Linked DNA regions of Coturnix japonica. The protein of the gene in region 2 purifies or fractionates together with the protein of the main gene of each other region. This does not show direct contact. Links are inferred from orthologs where the notes say so. Each region holds a gene or a part of one and is shown on either strand. Other genes may lie near its edges.

What was found. Proteins that work in one complex are often made in the same cells at the same time.
Region 1: the proteins of LCK (region 2) and UNC119 purify together in Homo sapiens (affinity purification with western blotting; 3 studies listed by BioGRID and IntAct, with this or other methods). This does not show direct contact. The link is inferred for Coturnix japonica from reciprocal best matches to the Homo sapiens genes LCK and UNC119.

The regions. Positions count from the first base shown.
Region 1 is NC_029534.1:4,517,338-4,523,006, reverse strand, and holds the start of UNC119 (protein unc-119 homolog A), read left to right. Parts: upstream 1-2,141; 5' UTR 2,142-2,197; coding exon 2,198-2,315; intron 2,316-5,669. UniProt on the Homo sapiens protein: Involved in synaptic functions in photoreceptor cells, the signal transduction in immune cells as a Src family kinase activator, endosome recycling, the uptake of bacteria and endocytosis, protein trafficking in sensory neurons and as lipid-binding chaperone with specificity for a diverse subset of myristoylated proteins.
Region 2 is NC_029538.1:4,512,238-4,517,325, reverse strand, and holds the end of LCK (tyrosine-protein kinase Lck), read left to right. Parts: coding exon 1-101; intron 102-207; coding exon 208-289; intron 290-364; coding exon 365-455; intron 456-543; coding exon 544-642; intron 643-731; coding exon 732-835; intron 836-917; coding exon 918-1,067; intron 1,068-1,214; coding exon 1,215-1,367; intron 1,368-1,630; coding exon 1,631-1,810; intron 1,811-2,145; coding exon 2,146-2,222; intron 2,223-2,307; coding exon 2,308-2,461; intron 2,462-2,723; coding exon 2,724-2,855; intron 2,856-3,153; coding exon 3,154-3,356; 3' UTR 3,357-4,129; downstream 4,130-5,088. UniProt on the Homo sapiens protein: Non-receptor tyrosine-protein kinase that plays an essential role in the selection and maturation of developing T-cells in the thymus and in the function of mature T-cells. Plays a key role in T-cell antigen receptor (TCR)-linked signal transduction pathways.

The sequences.
Region 1 (5,669 bases), on a different chromosome or scaffold from region 2:
AGTAACTCCACGCTTTGACAAGGAATCCTCCAGCTTCATCCTGAGTGCACACAGCCTCCCACATGTCATCAACCCTGTGGAGGCCCGGCTGGGTGAGCATCACACCTGACTCTGCTCTAGTGGGATCAGGCTGTGCTGAAGTGGGGACAGCTGTGCCTACACATGTGCCCCTTCCCTTCCTACAGCAGCTTTCTACCCCACCTGATTCAGGATATACAGATCCTGAAGTCTGCTGGGCTGAGTGTTTGAGGTTTGCAGCTTAAGGCTGTGTTCACTCTTTGTCCCTCTGGGCCAGGTGTGTTCATTGACTCAGTTCTGCTATAGGTTCCAGTGCTGCCTCGCTCTACCCTGTGCTGAACTTCTTGCTGTATGTGCCCGAGCGCTCCCACTCCCCACTCTACATCCAGGATAAGGATGGAGCCCCAGTGGCTACCAATGCCTTCCACAGCCCCCGCTGGGGTGGCATCATGGTACGGGGCCATGGTGTTAGCAGCTTAACCTCCACACCAGGCTCTGGCTGTGCCTCACTGACGTGCTTTCCTGCAGATTTACAACGTTGAAGTCCCTGCTTCCCCCCAAACCTCCCTCCCACTGCACGTGGATGTGGACATGGTGAGAGTGATGGAGGTTTTCCTGGCCCAGCTCCGGTGAGGACTCGCTCTTCCCTCCCCAGGTCCCACATGTGCATTGATGGGGTCAGAGCCCAATGACTCCATGTTGGAGCCCACCAGCTCGGCCCCTCTGTGGACTGTGGGAGATTGAGGGTGACTTTTTGTGCTGACCACCAACCTACAGCACTGTTGTGCACTGTGCATCCTGCTGCAGGCTGGGACCTTCCCATCTGTTCCCAGGTTATTATTTGGGATCTCTCGGGAGGAGCTGCCCCCTGAATTCCTGGTGGAGAGCCCAGGGAATGAAGGAGTGGCCGATTGGGAGCTGGACCGCCTGCTTTGGGCCCATACATTGGAGAATATTGCCACTGTGTCCACCACCTTGACCTCACTGGCGCAGCTGCTGGACCAGATCAGTAACATCGTCATCAAAGACGACGTCGCCTCCGAGGTACGACTGGTACAGCCTGATGTGGGGAGTGGAGGGGTCAGGAGCTGCTGGCCCCATGCAGAGCAGTGGGGCACTGCCCAGGAACGAGGCCCCTTAGCTTTGCTTCTCTGGTGCTTCCTGGTTGAGGACTGACTGCTGTGCTGTTCCCATGCAGGTATACCGAGCGGTGGCTGCAGTGCAGGATGCCGTGGCAGAGCTGGCTGAAGGCCGCCTGCATTCAGCTTTCCAGGCCAGCAAGGAAGCTGTCACCTGCTCGGAGCGGGCGTTCTTTGACCCTTCTCTTCTCCATCTTCTTTACTTCCCGGATGATCAGAAATTTGCCATCTATATCCCTCTTTTCCTGCCCATGGCTGTCCCAATCCTCCTCTCCCTGGGTAAGATGCTCCGAGAAGCCAGGCAGAGCAAGAAGGAGCCCACCAAGATGGACTGAGCCCATATACGGTGCCTTGCCTTGGGGCTGGGACCTCATAGAGTGCATTGCATCACGGTGCAGGCAGGTGCTCACAGAGTCTTGCACCCTCCACTCAGAACTGCTGCTTTACCCCCCTCTTTATTGAGACTTGAGGGGAGGGAGGGTGACCTGCATGCACCCCACAGCCCCGTGCTGTGTTCATGTGTAAATAAAGAGCTGCCCTGCCCAATCCTGCCCTGTTGTGCTGTGGGGGCTGTGTGAATCTCTCCCACTCTCTGGGCTTTGGCCACCTCTTGCTTTGGACTGAGTCCCGTCTTAAAGGTACGTAGCCCATATAGCACCAAGTGGGGGTGGGGAAGGGGGTTGGTGGGGTTCAGCTGTTGGTGGGCAGTTATGAATGGGGTCTGTGAGCGTTGGTTTAGAGACACATTACTGGGGTCGAGCTTTTCCCTTTGGCACATTAACAGGGGAGCTCTCGTATTGGGGGAGCCCTTTTGGGGTCGTACGGGGGAAACAAGCACGTTCATCCCGATGCTGTCGGGATGCGATGAGGGGCTTTGGGAGCGATGCCGGGCGGTGCTGCCGGCGGCGCTGGGCTGTACCGTGCGGGGGGCGGGCCGTGCAGGGGGCGGCGCTGCCCCTCCCGGTGCGGCGGGGCCGGCAGCGCTGAGCGGGGCCGCTCATAGCGGAGGTAGAGGAGGAGGAGGAGGAGGCGGAGGGGCCATGAAGGTGAAGAAGAGCGGCGGGGCCGGGGGGGCGGCAGCGCGGACCGAGGAGGAGCTGGGACGGAAAGCGCTTATCGGGCCCGACGACGTGCTGGGGCTGCAGCGGGTCACCAGCGGTACGGGGCCGGGGGGGGGCACCGCGGTGATGTCGGGTGAGGGATGGGGCGGCAATTTGGGTGGGATGGGACACCCAGCTTGGGGAGGGGGTGCTTCCATTGCGGAGTGGGACCCCCACTGCAAGCCGGGCTGGACGTGGGATGCTGCTCATTGTGCCCGTCCTATGGGTGGGCCAGGCTGAACCCCACAGCTGCGGGGGGAAGAGAGGGATGGAGGGGTTCGGGATGGGGTCACAGATCCAATGGGAGGAGTGTTGTAACCATCCTGCAGCCTTCCCAATAGGTTTCCCCTTTTCCACCCCTATAGTATTGCTGCGGTCTTGAGAGCATCCTGTGGGGCTGGAGGGGCTGTTGTGCTCTGCTGGGATTGCAGCGTGCTGGGCTGGGAGATGGCACATGCTCCAGGCCAACCTGGCTGTGGTAGTGTCCTCCTATCCACCCCCCAAAGAGCCTTTCTATACCCCCGTGTGTGTTGTGTCTCTGCAGGGGAGGAGGGGGCAATGATGGGTGGCTGTGCTTGGAGCAGGAGCGATGCTGCAGGCAGGGCTGTGCCATGAGAAGCCCCAGAAAGAAGGGATGCGGTTGTGGGTATTGGGGGCTGAGCAGCACAGGGATGGGTGAAAGGAAGGAGGGGAGGAAGCCCTGCAGATAGTGCTGGTCTGGGGGGTCTGTTGTGTCTCTGTTTCCCTGCTGAGATGCTGGGCTGTGACTCACTGCCCAGGCCCAGCAATCAGAGCAGCAGGCACTGGAGCGTGCTGCCAGCGCGCTTGGAAGAGCAGCAGTTGGATGGTGAGTCCCAGCGATGGCTGCGCTCAGTGCTTTGCTTCTTGGGAGCCCACGTGGCCCTGCATGCAGCTGTGCCCTCTTTGGGGGGCTGCAGGCACGTGGCCACCCCCTGCCCTTGCTCATGGGGCACGCAGACCTCATGTGGATTCAACTCTGGGCATCCTGGCCTTGTTGCTGCTATTTGCTCTTGTGTGCAGGAAGGCTGAGCTGATCGCCCCATGGGCAGCAGAGCTGCTCTCCTGCCTCTTCTTGCACTCAGGCAGTGTCTTACTCTGCTTCTGCTCAAGCTTACGGTGGAGGTGTGAAGTTGTGATCCAAAGGGACCTGTGTGCCATCCTATCTCTGGTGTATAGGTCCCTGTAGGTTTGTATGGAAGCCCAGATACAACTCCTTCCTCATTCTTTCTCCTCGCAGCTTGGTGTGTACAGCATGCAGCCTTGGTGCCCGTAGTTAGGGCAGTGTCTGGGGTGGAGCCTTTGCCTGGCTGGAATTTGGAGGGAGGATATATGGGGTAGAGGGCATGGGGAATGCAATGCTCCTTGGACCATGAGAAAGATCAGCACGTAATTCCTCCTTTTAACATCAGGAGAATAAGAGGAGCTGGCAAGGACTTTGTGGTATCATGGTCATGTATGGCTTTTATAGGGTGTTACAGTGGTGATATGTGTTGGGATGCACTAAAAGGACCATCAGAGGTTGTTGGATGGAGAGACACGGGGTTAAAACTTCTCCCACTCTTCCACTTTTCCCTTCTTAGTAAAGCTCTCCTCTTAAAACTACTTGAATGAACTCTTCCCATTGCAAACCTTAGTGCCTGTACCACCAAGTCATCCCAACTTATGACCACAGCCCTTTGTATCCCTCTGACCCCTGTTTTGATGCCCAGATCCAGGTGCTCCAGCCCACGTGAAGCTGACACAGGAGCTGATGGTTGGGAATTGCAGCAGTGCCACAAACATCCCTCCCAGTTCCAGATAACTCATTTTTATCCAAACTTCGAGGCCAATACCGCAGCAGCTCTCACTATTGAACCCATTCTACTGCTCATGGCTCTCCTCCTGATGTCTTTTTAATAAGCTTAAAGGGGGAGCGTGCAAGCAGTGCTGCGTATCTGTGCCGTGTCCTTCCAGTGTCACATCCTACATGATGCTAAGGTCAAACCTGATGGACCCAGGGGTGCTGCCCTGGTGCATGTGGGTCTTTTGTAGGGCTGGGTTTAGGTGTAAAGCAAAAGGCCCGTTTCCTTTGCAATTAGCAGGATTTGTTACTTGCTCATCCAACTGTGGTTACAAAAAGAGGAAAACCTTGTGACGCGATTAACTGGGGATTAGCAAAGGGAGCAGGGCAGAGCTCAGTTCAAATTGCAATTAATTACTGCAGCAGCAGGAGGATCAGAGCGGTGTGTCTGCAATTATTGGGGTGTGCATCTGCCGACGTCCTGCCTTGTGGGGCAGGGAGAGGAGCCGAGCACTGTCCCCGATACCTTCGACCAGGCTGAATGTTTGCTAGGTCACGCTGTGCTGCTCCCACGTTGCCTGCAGGCGAGGTTAATTCCAGCACAGCTTTGATTTCTTTGTCTGGCTTTGGGATGGGAGCCATGGGTGGTCAGCAGGAGGATGGCATAACAGCATTTGCAGTGCCGTCCCCTATTGCCACGTGACGATGCCAGTTGTCCAACTGATGCATAACCAAGGGCAAGCTTCAGGTTGAGAGCACAGCACTGGGCACCTGCACGGTTTGCCTGTGCTGCTGGGATAAGGCTTATCTTAAGTTTTACTATTCTAGGTTTCATCCTAAGGGCTCCTTTTGATGCCAGCAAACCGAGAGGTTGGATAAATGATTGATGACATACTTGGAAACACTTACAAAACAAAGCCTAAAAATAAGGAAGGCGTGCTTAATCATTTCTGAAAGTAATCTCTTCCGTGAGCTGTCATTTAGGATCCCTCAGAGGCAGCAGCTTTACCCTGCCTGGCAGAGGGGCCCGGTGGTCAGGGCAGGCACCTGGTGGGTGCGTTGCATTACAGCTGAGCTGTGTTAGCATGAAGCCAATGCGTGCAGATCAGTCTGCAGAGCTCCTCCTGAAGCCACGACTTTCCCTTCCTTCCCCATTTAACCGAGACCACTCGTTACATCAGGAGCTGTGATTAGCTGAGGGTGTCGATGCGGGGGGGTGTTAATGAATCCCTGTCTGGGGCTGTGATGTGTGGAAGTGTTTTGATAGGCAGATTTCCTGCAGCAGAGCCATACTGCAGAGCTGTGTCAAGCTGCTGTCACCGTGACTTCTTCCCTCAGCAGCACGACAGACGCTGCTATGAACCTTTTCAAGGCTTGCTGACGGCTCCCAGCTTGAAGTGCTGTGCTGAGGAAGGGCTTTGTTAGCACTCTCACTCTGCAAGATGGGCTGCGAGATCTCCAGGGGGGCACACATGGTGTATGCATCACACCAGGGCTCAGCTGAGTGGGTTTATCCTTCTGCCAAAGCCCAAGGTTTGGGCTGTCCCCACCAGGGATGGCAAAAGGGAATGGAAAGCTGTGGGATTTGAGCTGGTGAGGCAGAGGGCAGGG
Region 2 (5,088 bases):
TGGGCTGCTGCTGCAGCTCAGACTATGATGAGGACTGGATTGAGAACATTGACATCTGCGAGCACTGCAACTACCCCATTGACCCCGACAGCAAGCGCCAGGTGAGGGGCAGCCACAGGACAGCCGGGGTGGTGTGGGATGGCTGAGCCCTTGGTGGCACAAGGGGACATGGGGCCTGCATTCATGGGACCCCCTGCTCCCTCACAGCAGCTCATCCGCAATGGCTCTGAGGTGCGGGATCCCCTGGTGTCCTACGAGGCCATGTCTCCGCCGTGCTCCCCACTGCAAGGTACAGCCCGGCCACGGGGGGGGCTGCTGGGTGTACCCCATGGCCGCCTCCATCCCAACCCTGTGCTCTCCCCAGACAAGCTCGTGGTGGCCCTATATGACTACGAACCCACCCATGATGGGGACCTGGGACTTAAGCAGGGGGAGAAGCTGCGTGTCCTGGAACAGTGAGTGAGCGCTGACTGTCCCCATGTCCCCGTGTCCCCCAGCCAGGGGGCCCGGCTCAGAGGGGCTCACAGGGCTGTGTCCTTGCAGGAGCGGGGAGTGGTGGAAGGCACAGTCGCTCACCACGGGTCAGGAGGGTTTGATCCCCCACAACTTCGTGGCCATGGTGAACAGCCTGGAGCCAGAGCCGTGAGTGGGGCCGAGGGGCTGCACGGAGCCGTGCCAGAGCAGCAGGGAGATATGAGAGCCCCCAGCCTCACCCTGCCCCTTGTCCTCAGGTGGTTCTTCAAGAACCTCAGCCGCAAGGATGCGGAGCGGCAGCTGCTGGCATCAGGCAACACACACGGCTCCTTCCTCATCCGGGAGAGCGAGACCTCCAAAGGTATCAGTGCCAGCCCCACAGCTCCTCCTGCTCTGCAGTGCGAGGAGAGCAGCGACACAGCAACCCTGTGCACCTTCCCCAGGCTCCTACTCACTGTCAGTGAGGGACTTCGACCAGAACCAGGGTGAGACAGTGAAGCACTACAAGATTCGCAACATGGACAACGGGGGGTACTACATCTCTCCCCGGGTCACCTTCAGCAGCCTGCACGAGCTGGTGGAGTATTACTCGAGTACGTGCTGTCAGCAGCTGGTCCTGCACAAAGGATGGATGTGGGGTGGGATGGGGTGGGAGGACACCCCGCTACCTGCACCCAGGTGCAGTTCATGCCGTGCTCCCCACACACACTGACACCAGCTCTGCCCCCCCTGTGCTGCAGGCAGCTCGGATGGGCTGTGCACCCGCCTCGGCAAACCCTGCAGGACGCAGAAGCCGCAGAAGCCGTGGTGGCAGGATGAGTGGGAGATCCCACGGGAATCTCTGAAACTTGTGAAGAAGCTTGGCAGTGGGCAGTTTGGAGAAGTCTGGATGGGTAAGTCAGGGTGAAAGCAGGGTGCTTCCTCCTGGGTGAGGGCACTGCCCAGACCCGCAGCATCCTCGGGTCCAGCACACGTCCTGTGCAACTTTCCCTTTTAAAAGGATCTTCCTCATGCAGTTTTAGGTTGGGATGCTGTAGGCAGATAGGTGCAGCCCCCTCCCTGCCTCCTCCACCCCACCGCGTTACTGCCACCTGCCCCCATACGTGCTCACTGTGGGTCCTTCTCTTCCATCACATGCTGCCCCATCTCCCCGCAGGCTTCTACAATGGCCACACCAAGGTAGCCATCAAGAACCTGAAGCAGGGCAGCATGTCCCCCAGCGCCTTCCTGGCAGAGGCCAACCTGATGAAGAACCTGCAGCACCCGCGGCTGGTGCGGCTCTACGCCGTGGTGACCAAGGAGCCCATCTACATCATCACAGAGTACATGGAGAAGGGTGAGGGCACCCGGGTAGAATAACTGAATCATTCAGGCTAGAGAATACCTCTAAGACAACTGAGTCCAACCCCAACCTGTGCCCATCATACCCACTAACCACGTCCCTCACTGCCTCATCTCCCTGTTTCTTGAGCACTTCCAGGGATGGTGACCCCACCACTTCCATTGGCCTGTGCCAGTGTCTGCCTGCAGTAGTGATACATGACCACGGCACTGAGACCTTGGGGTCAGCCCCAGTGGGGCAGGCAGTGTGATTTCCTGCCCCCTCTGTGGTCTGTGAGCCCCCAGCCCCATGCAGGGTGTTACCCCTGAGACTTGCTGCCTTCACTGCAGGCAGCCTGGTGGATTTCCTCAAGACCTCAGAGGGCATCAAGCTCAGCATCAACAAACTGCTGGACATGGCTGCACAGGTGAGGGGCGCAGGGCCATGGCGGGGGCTGCCGGGGCTTTCCTGCTCCACCTGAATTGTGATTGTTATGATTATTTGATCTGCAGATTGCTGAAGGCATGGCCTTCATCGAAGCCAAGAACTACATCCACCGTGACCTGCGGGCTGCCAACATCCTCGTGTCGGAGGCTCTGTGCTGCAAAATCGCTGACTTTGGGCTGGCGCGCCTCATTGAGGACAACGAGTACACAGCACGGGAAGGTGCGCCCATCCTGCTGCCAGCCCGTGTGCCCCATCACCCCACAGCACTGCACACAGCCGGGGGGGGGGCTGCCAGAGCCCACCCAGCCCTGCTGCTGGGGGTCACAGCCCTACCTGGTGGCTGCAGCAGGAACAGGCACACTGCACCAAACCCAGCTCCTTCCCAGCGAGCAGCAGGGACAAAGGCTGGCTGTGCTGTTATATCAGGTTCAACAGAGGGATGTCCCCTAATGCTCATTCTTCCCCCCCTGCTGTTTTTCAGGGGCTAAATTCCCCATTAAGTGGACGGCACCGGAGGCCATTAATTACGGCACGTTCACCATCAAGTCAGATGTCTGGTCCTTCGGCATCCTGCTCACCGAGATCGTTACCTACGGCCGGATCCCGTATCCAGGTCAGGATTTCCCGGCAGCTGCAGGGCAGTGGTGCTCGCACACACGCAGGCGCACACCCAGCCATGTGTGCATGCACTGCTGCACGCACACAGCTCCGCCTGGCCCCGCTGCCTGCCAGCCTGCCATGGTTCTGAGCTCTTCTCATTGCACGTGGCCAGCCAGGCCCAAAACCCACATTACTTGGGGGGGGGGGTTTAGACTCTAGGGGCAGAGGAATGATTCCTATGGGGTTCCCAAAGGTGGGGTGCTCCCTGCAGGATGTGCTGCTGCACATTGAGCACCATTGTCCCATTGCAGGGATGACCAACCCCGAGGTGATCCAGAACCTGGAGCGCGGTTACCGCATGCCACAGCCCGACAACTGCCCGCGGGAGCTGTACGAACTGATGCAGCAGTGCTGGAAGGAGCAGCCCGAGGAGCGGCCCACGTTCGAGTACATGAAGAGTGTGCTGGAGGACTTCTTCACCGCCACCGAGGGGCAATACCAGCAGCAGCCGTGAGGCCCCATGTTGTGCTATGGGCACGCTGGGACCACAGACCCCATGAGCAGCACCCAGCAGTGCACACTGTGCGCATCCAAAGAGCTTTGCCCCGAATGGTGACAGATAACTGCAGTGCCATGACTGCTGTGCACTGTGGCTGTATCACACTGTGCTATGGATGTCCCCCCTGCCTTGCTCCACAGCCCCCAGCATGGGGCAGCCCCTTGTGTGCTGGGCTGCACCAGAGGCCAGGCCCCAGTTAGAACCCATGGTGCCCCTCACATGGAACCCACAGGCCTGAGGCCTATGGGGCTGGGGTCGCTGCCAACCAGGCCTTGCCAGCCTCTCCTGCCCCCATCGGGGTGAGCACATGGACCCAGCACAGGCCGCAGCCCCACCAGGCCCAGGCCGCCATGGGCTCCAGGCCCCGCTCCGTGCCCCCCCCGCACCCCAGGAATGGTTCGTCCCCACCTGCTCCCCCCTCCCCTCGGAATGGTTCCGCCCCGCCCACCTGGCCCCGCGCCCCGCGGTGGTGCATCCCGCCGCGCAGCCGAACCTGCTGGTTCCGCCTCGCCGCCGCCTCGACTCCTCATTGGTCGTTGAGCTGAAAGGGGTGGAACGCTGCTTTTCGATTGGTCGCCTGGAAGCTGGGGGCGGGGCTGGTGGGAGCTCCGGCCGGTGGGGCGGGTTGCGTTGCGCTGCGCGGCGGTGGGGTCTGCGGCCGAGGGGAGACGGGAAGATGGCGCTGACACAGGGGAGCAAACGGAAAGTGTGGGCTTAACTACTATGATAGGTGAGGGGGGGGAGTTGGTGAGGGGGAGTGGGGGGGTTATGGGGGTTCTGAGGGGGGTTATGGGGGGGTCCGTGCTATGGGGGAAGTGCTGTGGGGGGGGTCTGGGGGCTGTGCTGGGCCGGAGATGGGGGGGGGGGGCAGAGATCGGGGGGTGGGGGGATCCGGGTCCAGGGTTGGGGGGGGGGATTGGGGTGAGGGAGTTGGGGGGAGCTGGGGGTTCCAAGAAGTGTGTGTGTGTGTGGGCTGTGGGGCTGGGATGGGAGCAGGGGCTGCTCTGAGAGATGGGGGGGGCTGCGAGGGGAGGAAGGAGCTGTGCTGGGTCAGCGGTGCCCCCATGGAGGTGGGGTGGAACAGGGGCACTGTGCACAGCAGCATTGGGGCTGTCCTGCCCTTCAGGAAGCTGCTTTCTGGCCTTTTAATCTTCCCACTGGGTTGGGGGTAGCGGGGTGTTACAGCTCTTTCCCCGCTGGCAGCACAGCTCGTCCCACTGGACACGTTCACAGCCCCCCCCCCCCCCCCCTTTGGAGGGTGACCTCAGTGATGGATGGTTTTTGTTAGGCTCTGGGATTGCTTTGTGCAGGAGGTATTGTGTGGTTCTTTATTTCATTCTAGTTTGCAGTCTGTGAAGTTAAATAAAAACTTTATTCCTTTTCTTTTTTCCCCCGGTAAGTGGATGTGTTCCACACTCAAACAATAAAGTGAGCTCTTCTAAACTGCTTTCTGTGTTGGGCAGGTAGTGAGGGCTCTCATTTCTTCTCAGAAGCAAACATGAGCAGTAGGATTGCATCCTGTGGTGGTGGCCCTGAGTCTTCAGGCAGGGTGAGGAGGAGGAAGGGATCAGAGCAGCAGAACTGCCTGAATTCAGCACACAAGCTGCCTGTGGAGCCCCAGCATCTCAAAGTGCAGTTTGGGGCTGGAGCCCTGGGCTCAGTCAGGCCCAGTTTAAGCACAGAGTGC